2 linked regions of the Arabidopsis thaliana genome follow. The protein of the gene in region 1 purifies or fractionates together with the protein of each later gene. This does not show direct contact. Each region holds a gene or a part of one and is shown on either strand. Other genes may lie near its edges. The genes, in order: ABCI13 and AT1G27695.

Region 1 (12,469 bases):
TCGATCTCGACACAAGCTTTATGGTACATTGACACTGAATGCAGTACTCCCACTTGATTCAAAACGCTTGTAGCAGAAAAACCGAATTCGATCTTAAACTTTGGAATTCTAAATTCCTCAAGTTCAACTTTGTATCTCGGAATGTGACTATCCAAGAATCCAGGTGTAGATGCTATTTTCTTCAAGAGATAATCCAATCCATCTTTCTTGTCAGGGAGATAGAAATACATTGAGAATTTGCGGTTGGTATCATCACGGCCTCGTCGGTAAGGACCTTGAAACCGTTATAAGCTCTTACTTTTTGTGTCTCGTAGCTGGTCATGAATGGCACAGAGACTGTAGTGCCATTGACCATGTGGAAGTCTCTGTCTTTTGTATAGTACTTTTCAAATGGTCTCTTCCAAGCTCCCTTGAAATACAATGCGTTTGCGTAAATCTTGTTGGTTCGGCTTGTCACAGATTCACGAGGAAGAAGATCTTTGATGAGATTATTGGTGTGATCTTCAACCCATGAATTCACCTCCTTACGCACTTCTTCAGCCTTCAAACAAAAAAAACACATATTGGATGATTTTTGAAAACAGTCTCCTAATTCGAATTATGATTTGGGAATCAACATACATTACGAACTATTAGGTTTCCAATTTGACTGGTTGAGTATGTTCTTTAAGTCAAACAGCTATTACACACTTCATCTAGAAACACCAAATAACGTTTCTGCAAAACCCTAATTATATTTCTTCGAAACCCTAGTTTCTTTTTTGCTGTTAAAGTGGAAAATTACCTTTGATCGGAAATCTACGGGAACGTAAACAGCCTTGAAGAAGTTCTCGAAGAGAGCCTTGTATTTGGGATCAATCGGTAGTGATTTCTCAATCCAGAGGCCATTCACCGCCCTCATCTTTGGGCCGCCACTAGCGCTGCTGTCGGCGTAGACGATGGATGATAGTTCTCGGAAGACGGATTTGAGCTCATCGATTGAAGAAGATCTGAGGAAGGAGAGGATTTCACCGGCGACTAAGCCACCTCCGGAACCAGCGGCGTGCATGGTGATCGCAGAGTTTATTGACGCCGGCGAGAAGATGACGTTAGATTCCGACTCAGAAGATAAGACGTGCCTCCCAAGGATCATCGCGACGTCGTTTTGCTTCTTCATAGCCTTTTTCACATTCATCTTTGGTCTCTCCAACTAGATAGAGAACTTGCAAAAGGGTGGAGGATTATGCATGGTCTATGGAGGGACAGTTATATATAGTGAACAAATCCATTAAGAAATTTTTAATTATTATTAGGGTTTCTTGGAAAACTAGTCACTTTGCAATCCAGGTGTATAAATCAAACACTTAAAAATGACTACTTTGCAAATTGTAAATAGTAATATGACTACTTTCCCAAATATGTTTGAAAAAATTAAAATGATTACTTTTCACTTATCTCAAATTATTTTTACAATGGAATATAAATAGATTTTTCTATACTAAACCTCTGTAAATTAATACTCGATAAGTTCCACTTCAAAAAACGAACCAAAGGTCATATTTCATCCATGCATGTTCGAACATGCAAAGAGAACTTACTAATAATGTTTGGTCCCAAATTCAAGTATTCTCTGGTTCTCTTTGCATGGATGAAAGAAGATGGCCATATTTTTATAGGAATGTTCAGAAGGAGAATTCACAATGTGGAGAAGATAGTGCTACTGGTTTATATTGAAGTCAGGTTAAGGTTTATGATAGTTTCAAGGACATTGATGCGGACTAATTGGCATCAGATAGTCGTGCTTCCAAGACTAATATCAGGCGTAATGGGTTTTACTAATACGATTATGAAACAGCCTCAAGAAAAAAGGCAAAAAAATCGTATTGGAGCAAAAAAGTCGAAGAAATATCACGAATATGTGTTTTCGTTAGCGAATAAGGCGTTTTCGTCCAAAACGCATCGTGAATCTTATTTTTCGTATTTTTTTCAGAAAATGGCTCACATATCTGCTTGTGTAATAATTTTGGTTCTGTAGTCTTGTATAACTTTAACACTTTAATTTCGATATAATGGAATGATTTTAAAAGGAAAAAAAAATAATAAAAAAGAAGTAAATAAATCGATTTTTATTAAATTAGAAAACAATTTAATTTTGGATTGAAAAAAATTAACGTACTAGTTCAAAACGCCAAGTTAATATCTCGGATAGTCCTACTTTCTCATGATTCAGTTCTTTATAGACCATCTAAATCAATCCGTCTATGGATCTAAAATCGTTCTTGAAACTAACATGATGAAACGGTCCCTAGATAGGTTGGCCGAGGCAAAGAAGAAGAAGTCAGCTCTTAACTCTAAAAACCAAAAGGAAAAAAAGAAGTCAGACCTTACTCGTTTTGTAAAGATTTAGTCAGCGAAGAAGTCGACTAGTGTTCGAGTGGGGAAACACGTTGTCAACTCTTAAGTCTAAATCTTTGACCCCAAAAAAGAGAGCAAGTTGTCCACTATAATTCTGTCTTCTTATGCAACTTTCATTTTTGGCCACCTAAAGTTTCAAGCAAAACAACAAAAATGATCTTTTAGAATAATTATTATAATAATAACGACGATTAATGAACTCTATATATCTCACAAAAGAAGGACATGTTTGCAATCCCAACCAAGAAGATAAACACCTTAGCAAATTCAAAGAAGAATATATCAAACATCTTTTGTTTCTAAGAAATAAGCTCTCTGATTATGTCGGGAGCATCTTCTGTTTCTTCTATTTGTTCCTCTAATGTATCATTGATCCCTACGGGACCTCAAGTGTTCATCAATTTCCGGGGGAAAGATTTACGAAAAGGCTTCATGAGCTTTCTTAAGCCTGCTTTGAAAAAAGAAAAGATCAACGTGTTTATTGACGAACAAGAGGAGAGGGGCAAATACCTAATCAGTCTTTTTGATACGATAGGTGAGTCGAAAATCGCTTTGGTTATCTTTTCTGAAGGATACTGCGAGTCACATTGGTGTATGGACGAGCTGGTGAAAATCAAGGAATACATGGATCAAAACAGACTCATAATCATTCCAATATTCTACAGGCTTGATCTCGATGTGGTAAAAGATCTTACAGGAAAATTTGGCGATAATTTTTGGGATTTGGTAGATAAATATCAACCTGAACCAAAAAAGCTCCATAAATGGACGGAAGCTTTGTTCTCTGTTTGCGAATTGTTTTCCTTGATCTTACCAAAACACAGGTTTTTATTTTTCCACTTTTATATGTTCTTATTACTTGATAAATTAAGTGTTATCTGTTTAACTGTAACAATTTCTGTTCACTCATTGACATTTTACTCTCTTTTCTTTGTATCATAGTGACATTTCGGATAGAGATTTTGTAAAGTCAATCGTCAAGGCTGTTAAAAAAGTGCAGAAGAATTTCTTCCAACGAAGAAATGGAGAAATAGAATATCAAGATTTCTCAGTCCCTGCATGTAAACTCACTATCACTATGCACGAGTCACCAAAGTAAGTAGTGCCTCTCTTACGATTTCATTTAGGAAAATTAATGATATTCTGATGAAACATACATTGCTTCAGTGGTATGTCATGTGAAAGTATTGATCGAATAGCTAAGTTAAATCATTTTAGCTACTAGTATTTCCACAAAGTAATAAATAAAAAAATGCTAAAAGCTTGTGTAGTAGATTGTTAAGTTTTACTTTTATTATATTTTTAGTACATCTCTATCATATTTTAACTTGTATAAAATGTCTACTATATTTTCCTTCATCATTTGCTTTCTAATTTATTATTGGAAAAAGTTCAACATTTTCTTCTTAAGGATAGATTAGAAACTGTGACATTAATTTGCATGAAAAGATTAGATCCCCTAGGTCTCGTTTCCTGATAACTTTTTTTTTTTCATTTCGATGTTTCTATTTATGTACAGTGAGGAAGCCGTTCAAGTTACGGTGCTAAATGAATTTTACCAGATGAAGAATCAGTCACCAGTGCCCTCATACGAGGTCCTAATTTACATTTGCTGTCTTGTTAGTTGATTTTCTTTATATATGTTTATTGGTATCATTTCATGAACTGACATGGAGATTTATATATCGACAGTTCAAATTTTGGGTCGACCTTACGAGACCAAAGGGTAACGTTTTCATGATTGACGCAAGAGATCTTTCCATTGCATGGTCAGAGGACTCCAACCATTGGACCTGGCTCCCTCTCCCAAACCAAAATTCAAAGTAAAACTTCTCTTAAAAGTATTTCTTATATAAATTGAAAGAAATATCTTAAATCACGAAAATATATACCTTATAACGATAATATTTCTAGATTTATTGTCTAATACTAAGCACAATACTTTCCAGTGAATCAGTGATGGAAATTGCATTTTTGAAAAGTGCTAGCTGGCTAGACGTAGCTGGAAAGTTTGACACTCGATATTTGACCCCGAGGACAAGGTACGAGGTGGTGTTCGTAGTGAAGTTAGAATACACATTCGAATGGGAGACACTAGTGAAGCTAAAGCTAGACTTGCCGAATACTTGGGAGAAACCGCAAGAACAGAGTGTGGACATGTTTGACTACATAAGTGACCAATGGCTCGATATTCCAGTTGGAGAGTTCACCACATCGAAGAAAAACGTCGGGGAAATCTCTTTTGCAATGTACGAACACGAGTGCCAACTGTGGAAGTCAGGCCTCTTCGTCAAAGGTGTTACAATTCGTCCCAAATACTAAGTCATTTTATAAGCATGTATGTTGTTGGTCTGAGATATATATAGTGGAAATGCTCGCTTTGAACCATAATCTTAGTTTCACCTCCCAAATGTTTGTTACAATGTTACTTGTGTAGATAGTTTGACCGGTTTCAAAACTTATACTCTATTTACTCTCTTCTGCATTGGTTATCACATCCATAACCACCAAACTATTGAATTCTATAACTGACCAAACCCAAACCGAATTTTTAGAATATCCGAACAGTTCCCGACTCTCTATCCTATTAGACCCGAAACCGAAAAAAAAGAACTGATTGGGACGAGTATCCGAATGCCCAAACCTACCAAAGTTGTAGGCCTAGAGATAATCCTATCGAAAAATGACCAACAACATTTTGCAAAATTTGATATTCAACCGATTTTAATTAAAGTCCACAATAGTCATCCATAAAAAATATTGTTTACAATGATAAGGTGCGGTTCGATACTAACTCTATTTTGGTATTCGGATGATTGATCAACAACATTTTGCAAACATTGAAAAGAAAACGTAAATTTCGTTTCCTAAAAAAAAAAAAAATTCGTTTCCTCACAATATAATAAATAATTTACAAAGAAAAAAACGAAAAATGGCAATGTGACTCACTCAATCGGTGACTCGCTATAGTCTGTGAAGAAAGGCCAATTTCGCCATAAAGTTCACACCTTTGATCTCCTTTGTTTCTGGGTTTCTCCTAAATCATCCAAATTGGTATCGAATTTGCCCTTCTCCGATTCAATTTCTTCACGATCTCAAAACCCAGAAGAAAGAATCATGCTTTCGTTATCATGCTCTTCTTCTTCTTCTTCGTTGCTTCCTCCGAGTTTACACTACCACGGTTCTTCTTCTGTTCAGTCCATCGTTGTACCAAGAAGGAGTCTTATCTCGTTTCGTCGGAAAGTCTCTTGCTGTTGCATAGCTCCACCTCAGAACTTGGACAACGATGCCACCAAATTCGATGTAATAATCTCACGATTTGCTTCTTCTAAAGTAATTAAATGGATCACTGTGGAATCTGGACTTAAATAAAGTACTGATATTGGTATCATTTTGGTTGCAACTTGTTTGATAATGTGATGATATCTCATATCTGCAGAGTCTTACCAAGTCTGGAGGAGGTATGTGTAAAGAGCGAGGGCTTGAGAATGATTCTGATGTTCTTATTGAATGTAGAGATGTCTATAAATCGTTTGGGGAGAAACATATCTTGAAAGGTGTTAGCTTTAAGGTATTTTGTTGTGTTTACAGTGATGAAAGAAGGCTTATAGATTTTGAAAGGCACACAAAGACACCACACAAAGACACCACATTCTAACCAATTTTTAAGTATGCAGATTAGACATGGTGAAGCTGTTGGGGTGATTGGTCCTTCTGGAACTGGAAAATCAACAATTTTAAAGATTATGGCTGGTCTTCTTGCTCCAGACAAGGTCTGTTACTGTTTCTTCTCTATATGGCAGATTACAACCTTTCAGGTTATGGATTGTTTCTGATGATTGGTATGCAGGGAGAAGTTTATATACGAGGAAAAAAACGAGCTGGTTTGATAAGTGATGAGGAAATATCAGGACTTCGTATTGGCCTGGTAGGTGCTGTTCTGGAGATGTATTTCTCATAAGTCGTTGAGTTTGTATCTAAATGGCTTTTTGTTTTCTGTCTCACAGGTATTTCAGAGTGCAGCTCTCTTTGATTCACTATCAGTTCGTGAAAATGTTGGTTTTCTACTGTAAGATGTTATTCTTTAACGTCCTACATAACCTCATTTCTAGCTAAAACATTGCTGATGTTCTTTCGTTTTCAGTCATATTGATTAAACTTTTCTGTGGTAACTAATCACAGTTATGAAAGATCAAAAATGTCCGAGAATCAAATATCTGAGCTTGTGACACAAACCTTGGCAGCTGTTGGTTTGAAGGTATCTCAATTCAGTACAACTTTCATAACATAGGCTAGTTAAGTGTACCTAGTCAATAGTCCACATCCAGCTTATTATTGCCTTTTGTTTCTAATAAGATCAGGGGGTTGAGAATCGATTACCTTCTGAGCTATCTGGTGGAATGAAGAAAAGGGTTGCTTTAGCTCGTTCACTAATTTTTGATACAACAAAAGAGGTCATAGAGCCAGAGGTAATCTTAATATCTACTTAAGTTCATGAATGTGTTTCTTCTTTAGAGGCTTGACTCCTGCATCTGTATAGTTATTGATGAAACTTAAAGTCATCATGTGGCAAAAATTAGGAATTCATTTATGGGTTTCACTGCCTTTTCTTAGGTGCTTTTGTACGATGAGCCAACTGCTGGACTTGATCCAATTGCATCAACTGTAGTTGAAGATCTTATACGGTCTGTTCACATGACAGACGAAGATGCAGTTGGAAAACCTGGAAAAATTGCGTCTTATCTTGTTGTTACCCATCAACATAGCACCATTCAAAGAGCTGTAGACAGGTTCCGCTTCTAGTCCATATTACAAGATACGTTTTTGCAGCTTTTGCTTCATCCCTTGAGTAATATTTGTTTCTTCTATTCAGGTTATTGTTTCTGTATGAAGGAAAGATCGTTTGGCAAGGAATGACACATGAATTCACAACCTCAACTAATCCAATAGTTCAACAGGTCCCTTCTTTTCACATGTTCACATCTAATTTCAACATTGAAGTACTTGGGATGCAGTGTTAGTCATTCATTTTTGTTGTGTATCTCGCAGTTTGCTACAGGCAGCCTCGATGGACCAATCAGATACTAGGGGAGGCAAACCGAGCCTAAAGAGGGACACTAACCGATAATAGGGAACGCAAACAAGTAATGGCTGACATACACCACATGGCTGGATCAATTGGTTCAATACGATGCTACTTGTAAACACTATTTTATCTTAGATGCATAGATCAGAAAAGCATTGTAAGTTGAGATTTCATTATGCATCAATGAGAATCTGGTTTAATGTGCCAAGAACAAGACCTGCATTCTCAAACATATACCCCAACAAAAATGAAACTTTTAATTGACACTTGTGAACCTCCAAAACAGTAGTAACAATTGCATATATACATAGAGTAGAAGAAAAGAAAGATTTGTCTTTTTAACTACCCAACTTGAAAGCATCAACAAAGAGACCTAAGCAAACACCAGCTTTCCAAAAATTCATAAACACAACAAAAGACTGCAACTTCCCTGAAAACATTGAAGAAGACGGTTTCTTATACATAAGCATACCGATTCCTTCGATCGCAGCAACGACGATTCCGGCAACAAGCACATCCCAATCACCAGTCTGTCCAAGAATAGTAGCTAGTGCATTGGCAGTGTAGAAACCAAGAAGCAGCAGAAATATCTTCATTGGGAAGTTTTTTCTTGCAGAGTTTATCTTCCCAAGTAACTGTTTGCCTCCTGCAATCGCAATTCTACCTAACCGAGTGCTACCGAGACCGGTTCTGTCTCCATTCATCTCTTGCCCTTCACCACTATCTCCAGGAATAGAAGAACCAGTGTCTAACGCAAACGCTATTTTCCGGTTTGGTCTTCTTATCTGAAAACTATTGGCAAAAAATGAAGAGACTTTTCAATAACCAAACCAATGATTATGCCCAAATTCAATAAGCCAATCAATGATTGTGCAGAAAATCAAAACGCAAACGCAAACGCTACCTTTTCATGGGATAAGGAAATGAAGTGAGAGTAATGGACGAAGCTTTTATTCTCCTATGGAAGACATTTATCATAAAGGAGAGACCTTTTTCAATTTCTAGAACTGGGAAAACGCGTGAAGCTTGAATTTGACAAGCCATTAGAACCAGTCTCGAGTTTTCTGAGATTTAGGGTTTTCTTTATATTACGTCACAGCGATCTACTAGACACAAAACGAACGAATCTTAACGGATCATATCCACAAGGAATATGAAAGAACCAGATTGATCTAAGAGGAGAATGCAAGAAGCTTGGCTTGAAGGAATCAATGGAGATTGGTGAAGATGAGTGATGATTGAGAAACAATGACAAAAGGCATTGAAGCTTTTTAGATTTTCATTCTGTTGAAAAAGACATTTTACTCCTTCTACTCTTTTTTTTGTTCTGAATTTCAAGTTTTACAAATTTTGGAGGACGATTAATCAATTATAATAAATTTGGTAATTCCACATATTATTTGAAAATCTCACAACTATCAAAACCTTTAGTCTCGCTCTCTTCTCTCTCTAACATTCTTCAGAGAGGGAGACTTTATCCTTATTCTGCCGTTCGGACGTGGTCCGATATCGCCGTTAGTTTAGCCGTGACACGGCTTTCCGTTGCCGCGTTCTTTGTCGTCCGGTTTCATGCCGGCTTATGTACCAAATCTCCGCGATGGTCAGCTCTCGTCTAGCACCGCTTAGCTTCTTCAGCAACGGTGGCTAGCTCTTGCCCGGCACGACCGGCTATTCTAGCGGTCATGGCCGGTTTATGTTCTTCTTTAATTTCTGAATTTTGTTTTAGTTTTGCTAATAATCTCATCGGATTTATGTTGGGGGTAATAATCTGTCATATCCTCGATGGTTCTTTTCCCTCTCTATCCTTTGAGTTTTCAAGATGGGTTTCGCCGGATCGTTTTTTGAACTTAGGATTTACATAATGGTTTCAAAGAAATTTTTCTCTTTTGTTGAAGGATTGAAGATTCTTCCGTCGTTTATCACGATTCCTTAAGCCGTTATCTTTAATTTGGAGCTTTGATGTTTTCATTCTGGTGCAAAACACAAGAATCATCTCACCGGAATCAGCTCAACGGCGAAGGTTGTTGCCGGAAAACTTTTGATTATTCATCCAGCGTGTGACGTGGTATATCCCGGTTGTCGACATGTGTTCATGGATGGAGTTCCGATAGAATTTCTTCTGCAGAAGGTTATCTAATGGGCCTTTTTTGGGCTTTATGTAATTCCAAAGTTGGAGCTTTTGTTTAAGCTCTTGTATGATATGATGATGTTTAATAAAACTTATGAGACAAAAAAAAAAAAAAATCAAAACCTTTAGAAGTTTTATTTTTCAGAATCTGATTAAAGTATATTATTGCTTATCTAATTCTGTGTTCCAACTTTATTTTAGTAAGAGGTATGATTTCCTGCCAAAAATAATAATTAATATTAGAATCTGGTCTAATCATGCATATCTCTTTATAGCTAGCTTCTGTTTTTAAATCTTAATTTTTTTGTCTAAAATTTAAATTAACATTACTAAAAGGTAAAAACAAAGAGATTAACTAGATTTAAACTACCACACTCTAAATTCTTATGCAAAACGAAATGCATTCATCCATTTTTTCATATCTAAGGAAGAAAAAGGTGGAAGTGATTGTTCCATCATCACTACCAGACGACGTCATAGAGGAAATCTTCATAAGACTTCCAGTGAAAGAACTAATCCGACTCAAGTTTTCTCTTCCACAAGAATGGAGATTGAGGATCGAGTCTCATGGTTTCGGCCCACGATTCCACATATATAACCCGAAACTGCACCCCATGTTTATCCTTTTCGTAAAATACATCTTCAAGTGTTTATACATTTACTCCAAGTCTGGTTTCATTTTGTGTTTTACTATTTTGCTTTATCTTGGTTTACCTTTCCTAGTGCTTTTGGGTGTGATGTTCTTACTAGGTTTTTAAAATAGTCATTTATAAACAGATGTCTCTTTCAGTGTTAAGAGATGAGACCTAGTTTGAATAGTGAAAAGAGAACATGTTTGCTTGGAGATTCTTGCTAGACTTTTGAACAAATGTTTCTATCGCTTCCGTGTCCATCACATTGTTGTTGAGCTCGTTCAGACACTGACATTGGTTTTAGTCTTTTAGACAATCTGTTTGGAATCGACTTCTCTTCTCAATCTAACTTTCTTTGCTGGCATTTTACCAGCCAGGTTCACATATTTGGCAAATGGTGGTCGAACTTGGATTTACCTAAGTACAATATTCACAACACCATTGGCTTCAATTGGAGCTGCTGGCTCTAGAAGTCGATCCCTTAGTCTTCCCGCCTAAGCTCTTTGAACTTGAAGTTCGATCATATTCATATGCACCATGTGAGCTCGCATCCAATAGCTCATTCTCCACCGCTCGATATAGTTTTCCGTGTCACTGTTCATTCATAGTAATAGTAGGTTATTAGCTTCTTTCATCACCCAGAGCCAACTAATTCAATGCATAACCTTCTTAAGCATCCTCAGTACTAAGTTTCAGAGTATAACTTACTTTCCTTGAAACTACAAGACTCGAACCGGATTCGTTACTTGAATCTCTTTTTCTGGATTTTGTATATTCTAGAATAATAATAGAAATCAGCAGGCGTTACAAAAATTAGATTGTCTGGACAAAAGATTAGAAAAAAACTTACAGAAGTTTTACAATTATTTTGTAAGAACTTATATATAACTCACCTCTCATGTTTTCACTTTTTGGTCATTGGCAAATCAATAATAATGGCCAATCTAATCCAATTTATTGGACCCGTTTATTCTAATACGAGAAACATACAAAGTTACACGACACTTGATCATAATTATGACCAAAAGCGACGAAGCATTACTATTACAGTCTTTAATGCCAGTTTCTGGCATTTCACCGGCCATGTTCACACATTTGGCAAATGGTGGTCGACCTTGGATTTACGTAAGTGCAATATTCACAAGGCCAATGGCTTGAATCGGAGCTGCTGGCTTTAGAACTCGATCCCTTAGTCTTCCCCCCTAAGCTCTTTGAACTTGAAGTTCGATCATATGCATCATGCGAGTTCACATCCGATAGCCCATTCTCCAGCGCTCTAACCAAGTTCTCAAAATAGTTTTTGGTAACACTGTTCGTTTCCAGGTTAGAAAATGTTATTAGCCTCTTTCATAAAACGCAGTGCCAACTATGTGAACGAAAACTTCCTTAATTTTCTCTAAATTTTGTTACTCAGCACTAAATTTCGGTTAGTGACTCAGTCGTAACTAAATGTGCTTGAAACTGTTTCAGAACAGCTACTAAACATACCATGTCACTAATTTGGATTATCAGTTTGTTATGTAGGTTATGAAAGTACCTTGTTAAACCTGCCAGTTTTGTGCGGAATTCATTAAAATCTTCACTTGGACCTTTGGCATCTAAGTATGGTAGCAGCTCTTTTTCAGCACATTGATGAAGTCGTTCAAGGCCCGACTCAGCTTCGCCTAAATTCATGGTAAAATAAGAAGAAGTAATATAATAAAAATTTTGCATAATAAAGCATGTTACAAACAAAAGTCCTTATACCTATGAAGTATGAACAAATCGAAATTAGTGGTCAAAGATGGGATTGAACCCTGACCAAATTGGTTAAGATTTGGATTAAGGAGCTTGATCAAATTCTTATGAGTGACGCTTGACTACATAGTCCACATGATCTCACATAGGGAAAATCCTAAACCATTCCCAATTGTACTAAGACTACATGGTGTTCTATAAGAATCACGACAAGATCCATCAATGCACGTATGAACTACTGATGGATCTAACCATCACTAAGTACTCTCCCTCAATATAATATCCAACAATTGGAAAAGACCATAGATTAATGGTTGTTTAATCTCTTATTCTCATCTTCATGCATAAACCTATATTTGGAAATTTTAAATGTGAGAGCTAAATCAAGTTACCTTGCAAGTACTCAAAAAACACTCTTTTTCCATGCTCCTGGTCAGGTATGTAAAAACCATAGGCATATGTCCATTTTAGAACTCGTCTGCATTCAACTAT
Region 2 (11,045 bases), about 15 Mb from region 1:
TCAATGACTATTGGGAGGATATTGGAACCATAGGATCATTCTTTGATGCCAATTTAGCCCTCACGGAACAGGTTTTCACCGACTCTTTATTGTTTCATCTCCAGTGCAGGGTGGTGACTCAGTGAAACCTAATCATGCTATTTGTTTCTGTTTTGGCAGCCTCCTAAATTCCAATTCTACGATCAAAAAACACCCTTCTTCACTTCTCCAAGATTCTTGCCACCTACCAAAGTTGATAAATGCAGGGTACAATATCTTGAATTCGATTATCCCGTTGTTTCAGCTAATGATTCATCGATCCTCATGTTGTAAAGTGTATTATGGAATTGCAGATACTTGATTCCATAGTTTCACATGGATGCTTCTTGAGAGAATGCAGTGTGCAGCACTCAATCGTTGGCATACGATCACGTCTCGAGTCTGGAGTAGAGCTTCAGGATACAATGATGATGGGAGCTGATTTCTACCAAACGGAAGCTGAGATCGCGTCTCTTTTGGCGGAAGGGAAAGTTCCGGTAGGGGTTGGCCAGAACACAAAAATCAAGAACTGTATCATTGACAAGAACGCCAAGATCGGGAAGAACGTGGTCATAGCGAATGCAGATGTATGTTTTCAAAGATCTTTTTGGTTATTTTGAAGAAATGGTTGTCTGATTTTTTGTTGTGTTGGGTTGTGGCAGGGCGTGGAAGAAGGCGATAGACCAGAGGAAGGGTTTCACATAAGATCAGGCATCACCGTTGTGCTGAAGAACGCCACCATTAGAGATGGTCTGCATATTTAAGCTTTTAAACCTCTCTTTAGGAGCAGTGTATGTGGCTTCTTGTGATTTTGTAACGAGACTAGTTACGTTCGATTAATAATTTAATAAAACAAGAGGCACAAACGAATGACAGTTTTAGCAACTTTAAACGTGATCGTTAATCTTGGTAAATCTTAATGATTACGTAAAACACAGAGAGAAACCAATCACAAACAGACGAGAAAAAAGCATGTGTAAAATTCTTCACTCTCACGATCACAAGTCACAACACAAGACTTGAGACTCCCATCCATATATACACTTTACAAATTATAGATATTTCATTCGAGTTTTATGGGACTATAAAAAGAGTCATAAAACTCTTGTCTCTTATTGCAGTGAGAATGAGAGAATAGGTTCTGAAGACTAAATGGTCTGATCTTTAGAGAAGGTAAGGACCACTAGAAGCTACCTCACCAACTCAATTAGTGTCAAATTAATCCAAGGCCAACAGTCCTGAAAAAGTCTCCTAACTTTTTATGTCTGCAACTGTATATGGGACATCCCTAGTTTTCTTAATTTTGAATCTTGATTCTTGAGTTAAAACAAAAACCCAAATATACAAGTATGCATGAAACGTAAACTTTCAGAGAAGGTTTCTCACATTAAGTATCCTTTGAGTTAAGTATATAGTCCATAAGACTGTTTTTGGTTTTAATTTTAGTATTTGTGTGTTTGGGCCTCCCAAAGATTGTTGGCAGAAAAGTTGTCATTATCACTGGACCAAACTCGCATGCTCAATATTTATCATCACCAGTTATAATTACATACACCGACTGCTTTTTTAATTTTATTCATTTTATATTCTCTCGGCCTCATGGCACCGTTACTTCCCGCCTCACGTTGACGATATATGAGAGAATATTTTATCATCATATCATAGTGAAGATAATAGCACAAAATCACAACACAAGTTTTTGGTAAGTAATGATCGTCCGCTGTAATGATCGTCCGCTCAATAGGGTTATTGGTAAGTAAGAATGAACCTGAGCTATAATAACTTGATATCAAAATCGTGTGTGATTGTAGAAAAAAAAAATCTTATAAATGATTATTTGTTTACTTTTTGTCAAACACTTATATATAAGGTATTTAAAACTAGATATAAGGTATTTTAGACTGGTAAAACAAAACTAAGAAAACAATTATATGAACTAAATATGGACGACAAAAAAAAAAAAAAAAACATAAGAAAAGTTATTTTTTTTTCTTTTGTCGTCCATAATTATTTTTCTGTTTGAACACACAAAGGCGCACTTGAGAGTTTAGAAGTACCATGGAAAATGGTTATTTGAGGTTAAAGATGAAAATGAGTAAGAAGCAACCATATAAATATATATCCATTCTAATTTGGTCCCATGAATCAAATTGAAAACTCCAGAAAAGGAAGACTATTTTTAATAATTTTGTGTTATGTTGACCTTTTGTGACTTATGCTCATGCTCATGCACACCCTACTCGTCTATATTGTATATTGCTTTTAGTAATATAACACCTTTTTTTTTTTGTTAAAATAGTAATATAACACTCAATTGCTTTGTTTTGACTTTAATTAATTTCCATCTCTAAGAGCATGCCTTTCGTGTTCCTTAAGGCTAATTGCTCACTAATTTATGCTGCTTTTGAAATAAAGTATTATATATATATATATATATAATGATTAACATATTATCAACTTTTATGAAAAAATCAAAACATATTAAGCAACTCCTTTTAACTCGTTGTTGTGGTCACAAACTGTAACAAGTTTTCTTCTTATCCAATGTGGAACGAGTTAGCCCAAAAAAAAGACTTGAGAGAAAGAAGACAAATATGAATGTTTTATGTCTTATAAATGGAATGTAAAACCATTTCAATAGAAAAAAATAACAAAAAAATTCTTATACCAATTTTCATAATTAAATCTTATCCCGAATCCCATTTGCCTGTAATAATGAGACTTTTAAAAGTTTTTATTCGAGAAGCAGTGATTCATAATTTCAACGATGTCGAGAAAAAAAATGTGTATAACCCTAAATAATAGCCAAAATAAGAAAAGAATAATTAAATTCCAAAAGAAATGGTTAAAAAAGCGAATTAACGAATTAAATTCGACATTTATATTTTGCAACCTTCCCTTCGACGCAAACATTTCTCTCTTTTTTCTCTAATCACCAAACCTGCGTCTTCTCTCTCACACTACTAACAACACTTCCTTCTTCTTCTTCCGACTATGGATAAGAAGCACGGCTTGTTCTCCAAGTCTAATTCCCGGCGACCACGATCCAAGAGTCCAGTCAGAAGCGTCTCTCCGATCATCATCCGTCGCCGGAAAGGCCGTTACGTCACACAACCGGACCGGCACATGTCTGAGATGCTTGCTCCGGTTATAGAAGGTCCTGATCCAGACGCTGAAGACTCCGGAAGCAGTGGTGATTACTCTAGGTTCGAGAGACGTTGGTACAATTGGATGAAATGTCAGCTTCCGGTGGCTCCGCCGTCAGTATCGTCCTCTTCGGATTTCAAACGAACGGATCTGAGGCTTCTCCTCGGTGTTCTTGGCGCACCTTTAGGTCCTGTGCACGTTAGCGCTCTGGATCTCCTTCCACACCTCAGTATCAAGAATACACCTATGGTGAGCTCTTAATTCACTGTTGTCTCCTCAAAATTAGGACAGTGTTGGGGATTTGGAGTTAATCATGTTGAATTAAGCTCTTCTGTGCCATAATCTAGCTTGAATTTAGCTGAATCTTCTTTTAGTTGCCTACTAATTACGGAGAAAGACTGCGCAATTAATTGAGATTTATCAAGTTTTATCTCTGCTTTAATGTGTTGAGGGTAAAGTCTAATGACTCTTACTAATACTTGAATTTTCAGGAGACTTCCTCTGCTCAGTACATACTTCAGCAGTATACGGCTGCATCAGGAGGTCAAAAGCTTCATAGTTCTGTGCAAAATGGATATGTTATGGGAAGAATCAGGACGATGGCTTCAGAGTTTGAGACAGGCTCAAAAGGTTCAAAGAGCAAGAATAATTCGTCAAAAGCTGTTGAGTCTGGAGGATTTGTGTTGTGGCATATGAATCCTGATATGTGGTACATGGAGCTTGTTCTTGGTGGGAGCAAGGTTCTTGCAGGTTGTGACGGGAAGCTTGTGTGGAGACACACACCATGGCTTGGACCTCATGCTGCAAAAGGACCGGTTAGACCATTACGACGTGCTCTGCAGGTTAGGCCTCTTGTCCCAAGGAAGCCTTCTCATACACTTTTCTTTGCTTGCATAACTGAATTGTTACTGTTGTCAACTTTCAGGGACTTGACCCGAGGACCACAGCGTATATGTTTGCAAATGCAAGGTGCATAGGAGAAAAAAAGATCGATGGAGAAGACTGTTTCATTCTCAAGCTATGTGCAGACCCGGCAACACTCAAAGCTAGAAGCGAAGGGGCATCAGAGACCATAAGACATACGTTGTTCGGTTACTTCAGCCAAAAAACCGGTCTGCTTGTTCACTTAGAAGACTCCCAGCTAACCCGAATCCAAAACAATGGAGGCGAAGCGGTTTACTGGGAGACGACCATCAACTCATACCTAGAAGACTACAAACCTGTCGAAGGTATCATGATAGCTCACTCTGGTAGATCCGTGGCTACGCTTTTAAGGTTTGGAGATATGTCATCAGGACATAACACTAAGACCACAATGCAAGAAGCATGGGTCATCGATGAAATCTCGTTCAATGTCCCTGGCTTGTCTATAGATTGCTTCATTCCACCTTCAGAACTCAGATTTGATTCCCACGTTGAAGACTTATCTCAAGGCCCCAAAATTAGGACATTGCACGGCCATAAAAATGGTTGATGTGAAGAAGCAGGAGATCAATGTGTATAACTCATTCAAAAACAAACCCTAGACCGGTTATTTTACTTTTGCTATTGTCGAAGCTAAAATTCTTGTAGGAAGTTTCGTTGAAGTTGTAAATAGACAGCAGGAGAAGTTCGTTCTTTTTGCCGCATAATGTTAGGAATGTGTAGTCTTAGTAAGGTCAGTCCAATTTTTAGTTTATAATATTGTTTCATATACTATGATAGAAGCTCCCATCTATTTCACCTAATAGCATATAGTATAAAGAAATATTACTTGGTCATCCATACCAATTGGAACTGATGAATACGATCTTCCTTGTATTGTATATCAATAAATTCATAGTGTGAGTGTAGTTTCTTTTGTAGCACAAACTAGTAAATGTTATTTCTCCTCCTACTGTCTATTTCAAACCGTTGCTCATTAGTTTACTCCAAAAAATGGCCATAAGTACTTATCTGTTTGTCTGTCTCAACCATCCAAATCCTATTTGTGAGTTGGATTTCAATGGGACATGAGCATTTTTGCATATGGATTGATCCATTTGCTCACTAGATCGTTTTATTTTACTGTTGACTGTTGTTGACCTTGAGAAAAAGAATTAGGCCGGTTCACTGTTGACCAAATTCTTTTACATAAAATCATTTTGAAAATAATCCCGGTTCATTAGTTAAACCGGTTCGATTAATTTGGTACGTCTCTAAAACAAATCGTCTTCACCTTTCTTCTCTTGCTTTCAGGGCTTGCGATTTTAAGTGGGGGAGGTAGAGAGAGCAATCTACCAGATTCACCGATTACCAACAACAAACAAGGTATCATCGGGTAATTCAGATTCGCAATTTCTGCTCATTTGAATTTATAGATTCCTAAATTGGTTTCTTTTTTTTTCTTGTGAAGATCACTATGGTGCTCTCTGACTTCACTGGAGTCGGTGTTGGATTTGGTAATGCCCCCATTCGCAATTGTTTTCTCCTTTTAATTTTGATTGGAATCGTAATTTAGTTATTGGAATTCATAGGGTTCGGTGTTGGTTGTGGATTTGGCGTTGGATGGGGTTTTGGAGGTTCGTTCTCAACTTCTCTCTTTTTCTGCTTTTACTTGAACAAAATCTGGACTGAATTACAAGATAATTCTATTGGAACAATTCTCTTGCTAGTTGCTATGGGATGTGCAATGCACTCTGCTGTGCTTGTTTAGTTTTGTGATCATATTGCTTAATGTCTCTTATAGAGATTATCAACTCCTACATATCATCTTTACTCAAATGCTTCTTCTTTCCTAGCTAATGGTTGCTTAAACGCATAGCTAGTATCAGTTGCGCTTACATTTTGATGGATTCATACTATTTTGCAAACCTACTGAATTGGAGATTTCCGTTGCTTTCATGCAGGAATGCCTATGAACATCTTAGGTGTTGGTGCTGGTAAGCATTTCAAACTTCTACTTCAAATATCCCACACTCGCATAGATACACACCGAGCAGGTTTTTCCTAAATTCTAATTACGTAACTTATGCGTCTGGTATTTGACAAAGGTGGCGGTTGCGGGGTGGGTTTGGGCCTCGGGTGGGGTTTCGGGACTGCGTTTGGGAGTCACTATCGTTCATCTAGACTTACATTTCAAGGCATCGAGTTAGAGACTGCCGATAAACGGGAGGAGGTGGTGGCTAACATGTCCAAAAACTCCACTTAAGCAGTCGTGTGCTTCAATACTCTGCTCGGATTGATTGTAAAAGAATTCTGACACCTTTTCTTATTTCTCAATGAAACGGTTACTTCAAATAATCCAATACGAAATGCATTTCTGTATTCTGAATTGTCATTTTTAGAAGGTTCCACTTCAATCTTGGGTTTAGTCCCAAATAATTCTACAATGGTTAATAGGATTGGTGCCTAAGAAAACAATGATTGCTCAATGAAACCCGTTTCAAATAATCGAACCAAAAAAATGCATTTCTATATTACAAACAACCAAAAACAGTTGGAATTTACTGTACAGTAAAAATGTGGATTGCCAAATTCGTCTCTTTCGCTGTTACACAGAAGATGAATGAACTCGAACCTTGCTATTCCAAACCTCTCTTCTACATTGAATGCACTGCAACTACCACTGCAATCAGAAAAAAAAACAATTTATCTCAAAACTCAAAAGTGATGCAGTAAGCTTTGCGTTCTAAACATAAATGATTCAGAGTTCAGTAAATCTTACCAATAAGAAAAACTAAAAGAATAATCCAAATTGCAGCGTGAACCGATTTACTATATCGCATTCGATACTGAGACCGTTGGAGTTGCCTCTGTAGAGCTCCATACCAACCATGAAGCTGCTTTTCATAACAGTCCTCCTCACACTCCATACAACTCTTGCCCCTCTCTGAACATCCATTCATATCTTGCTGAGAAACAAAAAAATAAAAAGCATTTCTTAGCAAAGATTTTCAAAGCAGGAGGCAAAAATCTTGCGGTTGGAGATCGATCGATCAAACTTACTTGGTTAGCTTGGATAGGTAATAAAGCAGCATCAGAGTCTCCTTGACGATCTAAACCCTTCCACTTTCTATTGCAATGCTTGGACACAGGATCCATATAATTCAAGAATCCAGAGAAGCTAGGTACTTTCCTCGGAGGTCGAACCACTGGCTCATCACAAGATTTCTTCACTAAACCATCATCAGAAACCGCAATGTTCCAAGCACTGAATTCAGCAGCACTTGCAGTCCTTCTATGTCCATTAGGATTTGCTTTAGCAGATTCAGATGGACCAGTCAAGAAGAGAGCAAGCTCATTACGATCATCTTCATCCAAACGAACCCATCTCGGTGTTCCTTTCCCATCGGATTGCGCAGCTTCCTTGAGAGATTTCTCGATTTTCGACACTTGAGCTTCCATTACGAAAGTAAACTCACGATGCCTATCTCTAGTTTCATCACTCAAACGATTGTCATAGCTAGATTTGACAGCTTTTTGGAATTCATCTAACTACACCAAAAATATTACAGGTTTCATAAATCAACATTACAGATTAAGAATCTGAGTTCTGAGGAAAGAAAGAAACCTGCCATTTGGTGGTTCCAAGAGCTGCGTGAAGATCTCTATGAAGCTGCTCAGAGTCCCATACTTTTGAAGAGTCTCGTTTCCCATTGAGCCATGTCCTGTACGCTGACTCCATCCTACACATGAATCGAAGATAACAACACACATTGTGAGATTTCAGATCTAAGACTTGATTTGATTAATCAGAAATCGTAATCCCAAATCCGAAGCAACACGAATCGAATCGTCGACATTGCATCACCAACAATGAGAGTTTATGGTATCACAGATTCAAAACGAAAATTGGGAGATGAGGATCCGAAAAACGCAAACCTGTCGGCAGATTCCTGAACTTCTTCAGCAGCGGGAAAGAAAGGATCTTTCTCCCACCGATCCAAACTCGTCGTCATCACTTGAGCAGATGAAAAAAAACAAACTAATTTCCTAATCCTTGGAAGATGAGAAGAAACCCAGAAATGGAGGAAAATGGAGAAGATGGATGGATCGAGAAAGATTTCAGAGAAGAGAGGGAACGTTCGTTCATCGATTAGCCAAATTACGGCCTTTCGTTACACACACGTGCGAAAATTAGTACTATTAATGTTTGGTTTATTCAATGTGGTTCTCAATAAACCGGTCCATAATCTCTAATTCTCTTCATTTTGGTTAACGCTTTATTTATGACAGCATAATTACCAAAAGAACTAGTAATCGAAAGTATGATTAAAGGAAAAAAATATGCCATGATCCTACTTTTGATTACTTATGACTTATCTATCAATTTTATTCATGTTATAATCATTTTATTACAGTTTCATAATTCATTGTTTCCTCTGGAACATATGTGTGATAACCAATATGTTCAAATCAGATCAATGGATTGGTACACGAGTCACTCCTTGTTTTCTTTTATTTAAGAAAAAACTTGAGACTGCAAAATGAATAATAATGAAAAAATGCAGCAAAAAGTGTGGGAAAAATCATGCGAATGAGAACCATCACCTGTTACACCTTTCTGGTGAGTCACCATATATGCACCTCTCTCTCTCTCTACTGGCACGCCCATGCCAACCATCACCGTTGTATTATGTCCCAAGATATATAAATAGTGGTGTGTGTTTGTGGCTGTGTATTATTCAAACACACAAGTCCTTTTACTTCCTTTTTCAGATTCTAAGCAAACAAATTGTGTCACTAAGCAGCCATCATGGCTAGAGTGATCTTGTGGTTTCTTGTTTCCTCGTATCTTTGTCTCATCGGTCATATGATTGCCGAGGCTGCAAGAGAAGGTGCCTCCATGAGGAAGGAAGCACACTCCAGTGGGATTGGAAGAGAAAGTAAGCTCATGAGGAATGAAAAACACTCCACTGAGATTGGAAGAGAAAGTGCGTCCATGAGGAATAAAGCACGCTCGAGTGAGATTGGAAGAGAGAGTAAGCTCATGAGGAATGAAGCACACTCCAGTGAGATTGGAAAGAGTATCCGACACGTAACCGGATTTAAGGGTGAACTCACAGCTGGTGGCTACGGCGGTGGAGGCCCGGGATATGGTGGTGGTGGATACGGTCCAGGTGGCGGCGGTGGTGGTGTTGTAATCGGTGGTGGATTTGGTGGAGGTGCCGGGTATGGTTCAGGTGGTGGTTTGGGTTGGGATGGAGGCAACGGAGGTGGTGGTCCAGGATACGGGTCAGGTGGAGGAGGTATTGGTGGTGGAGGAGGTATTGGTGGTGGAGTCATCATTGGCGGTGGTGGTGGAGGATGCGGAGGTTCATGCAGCGGAGGCGGTGGTGGTGGAGGAGGATATGGACACGGCGGAGTCAGCACGAAGGGATCAGGCAAAAACTAGAAAAAACATGCAGCTTGCTTTAGGTAGTGAAAGGAAGAAGAAATAAGGATGTACTTTAGCATCTTGATCATGTTTAGGAGTTTGTAATGGCATTAGTTTTAATGGAATAAGAACCTTTCTACAAAAAAAAATAAAGAATTGGTCCTATGTCTTTTCTTGGTTTCAAACATCCGAGCAGATTCTATTGTATACGCGATACAATAGCGTCGATCTTGACATCTGAGGCTCCTTTTCCACCACAGCGATCACATCCTTCACAGAGATTGACCGGACTACTTTTGGTAAACCTTGGTTCTTCCCAAATTGTGTACCACCTACATAAAGTTCGAATATGCAATTAGGAGCACGAAACACAAGAATAACCAGCAACAGAACTGAGAGATTTACTCTTTCAGATCATAGAAACGGGATTACCAATCTTACCAGAAAGTTTCTTGGAGTTTCTTCCTGGCCCTGGAGAAGATCTCTGACGTGCTTCAGCCATAAGTTTCCATTTTGAAAACCTATCATCTCCTCCAACGGCTGCACGAACAGCAACATTTGCAGCCTTGGCTCTCTCTTTATCTTCGTCCTTCTTATTTGCCTGACTTGTGATCAATAAACCTCTTTCAGTGTACGTATGTGTATATCTCCAAAGGTTTAGGTAGTTGGCTCAAGTTCTAAATACCTTCACTTCGTTTGAACGTTGGTCTTCTTTTTCAGTATCATTTTCTTTGTTCTACATCAATGAATATACAAAAAAAAAAAACTAGACATTACTACTGATAACTAAGACAAATAGATATTAAGCTCAGGACAAACCATTACCTTTTCTTCTCCAGAATGTTTCTTTTCCCATTCCTCTTTCACCTTCTGATTCATTTCATTAATTTCTTTCCGGATATCAGATGTGATAAAAGTCCGATTTCTACACTTCTCTGCATCAGTCCGCTGCAAAAGCTCTTGTAACTTCAGAAAGATTTAGGTACAACAAGATCTAAGGAGGCATGAGAAGAGAAAGTAGACTGACCTGCTTTGATATTCGTATTATATTAAACAGTAGTCCTCGCATCCTCTCCTCCACACACTGAATGCGCAAAGCCATGAGAAAAACGAAAACAAAAACAGGAAATTGAAGGCTAATAATTCCAAGAAAAGGTGTTAACATCTCACCAGAGACAAGCACCGCTCTACATCATGGTCTATATGCTTTAAACCACTTTTTCCCACTGTCATATATGAAAGCATACATAAACTTCTTCTCCAAGTGATTCCAAGTAAGGACCAAAGAAGCAGCTAAGATACGAGTTGAAACACAAACTAATTTCTGTCAGCTTTCTCTGCAGTGGAATTTTCTGCAAAAGCGTTCTTTCTTCCTCTCCATGCACAAGTCTTCGATATGCTTTAGAAACACGATCGTTCTTTTTAGGACCAGAATCTAATAATTGTTTTTCCTCTTCCTAGAACAGATGCAGAAAGTAATTTGGTTTATTGTTTCTCTATATCCAGGTTCAAAATGAGAAGTGTAGCAACTCGTAAACATACC

Evidence for each region.
Region 2: the proteins of ABCI13 (region 1) and AT1G27695 purify together in Arabidopsis thaliana (affinity purification with western blotting, with the first as the bait; one study listed by BioGRID). This does not show direct contact.

Annotation. Positions count from the first base shown.
Region 1 is NC_003070.9:24,289,851-24,302,319, forward strand, and holds ABCI13 (non-intrinsic ABC protein 11), read left to right. Parts: upstream 1-5,318; 5' UTR 5,319-5,511; coding exon 5,512-5,697; intron 5,698-5,833; coding exon 5,834-5,965; intron 5,966-6,071; coding exon 6,072-6,167; intron 6,168-6,244; coding exon 6,245-6,322; intron 6,323-6,401; coding exon 6,402-6,463; intron 6,464-6,576; coding exon 6,577-6,652; intron 6,653-6,755; coding exon 6,756-6,863; intron 6,864-7,008; coding exon 7,009-7,184; intron 7,185-7,267; coding exon 7,268-7,352; intron 7,353-7,443; coding exon 7,444-7,482; 3' UTR 7,483-7,745; downstream 7,746-12,469. Other genes in the region: PP2-A5 (phloem protein 2 A5), read left to right, coding at 2,716-3,218, 3,337-3,489, 3,914-3,989, 4,087-4,217, 4,344-4,716; NPQ7 (antigen receptor-like protein (DUF565)), read right to left, coding at 7,819-8,272, 8,385-8,524; AT1G65425 (F-box/kelch-repeat protein), read left to right, coding at 10,007-10,224, 10,618-10,738; ARI8 (IBR domain-containing protein), read right to left, coding at 11,315-11,549, 11,778-11,904, 12,370-12,469. UniProt on the Arabidopsis thaliana protein: ATPase transporter involved in lipid transfer from the endoplasmic reticulum (ER) to plastids, and necessary for thylakoids formation. Not involved in transition metal transport pathways.
Region 2 is NC_003070.9:9,633,669-9,644,713, forward strand, and holds AT1G27695 (glycine-rich protein), read left to right. Parts: upstream 1-5,355; 5' UTR 5,356-5,454; intron 5,455-5,478; exon of another isoform or gene 5,479-5,539; 5' UTR 5,540-5,545; coding exon 5,546-5,585; intron 5,586-5,660; coding exon 5,661-5,705; intron 5,706-6,032; coding exon 6,033-6,065; intron 6,066-6,176; coding exon 6,177-6,334; 3' UTR 6,335-6,536; downstream 6,537-11,045. Other genes in the region: APL2 (ADPGLC-PPase large subunit), read left to right, coding at 1-71, 160-246, 333-605, 681-782; AT1G27690 (lipase, putative (DUF620)), read left to right, coding at 3,013-3,414, 3,657-4,007, 4,091-4,639; AT1G27700 (Syntaxin/t-SNARE family protein), read right to left, coding at 6,726-6,751, 6,851-7,037, 7,132-7,620, 7,697-7,811, 8,008-8,084; AT1G27710 (Glycine-rich protein family), read left to right, coding at 8,882-9,520; TAF4B (TBP-associated factor 4B), read right to left, coding at 9,683-9,834, 9,944-10,103, 10,188-10,238, 10,328-10,450, 10,530-10,586, 10,673-10,728, 10,821-10,959, 11,045-11,045.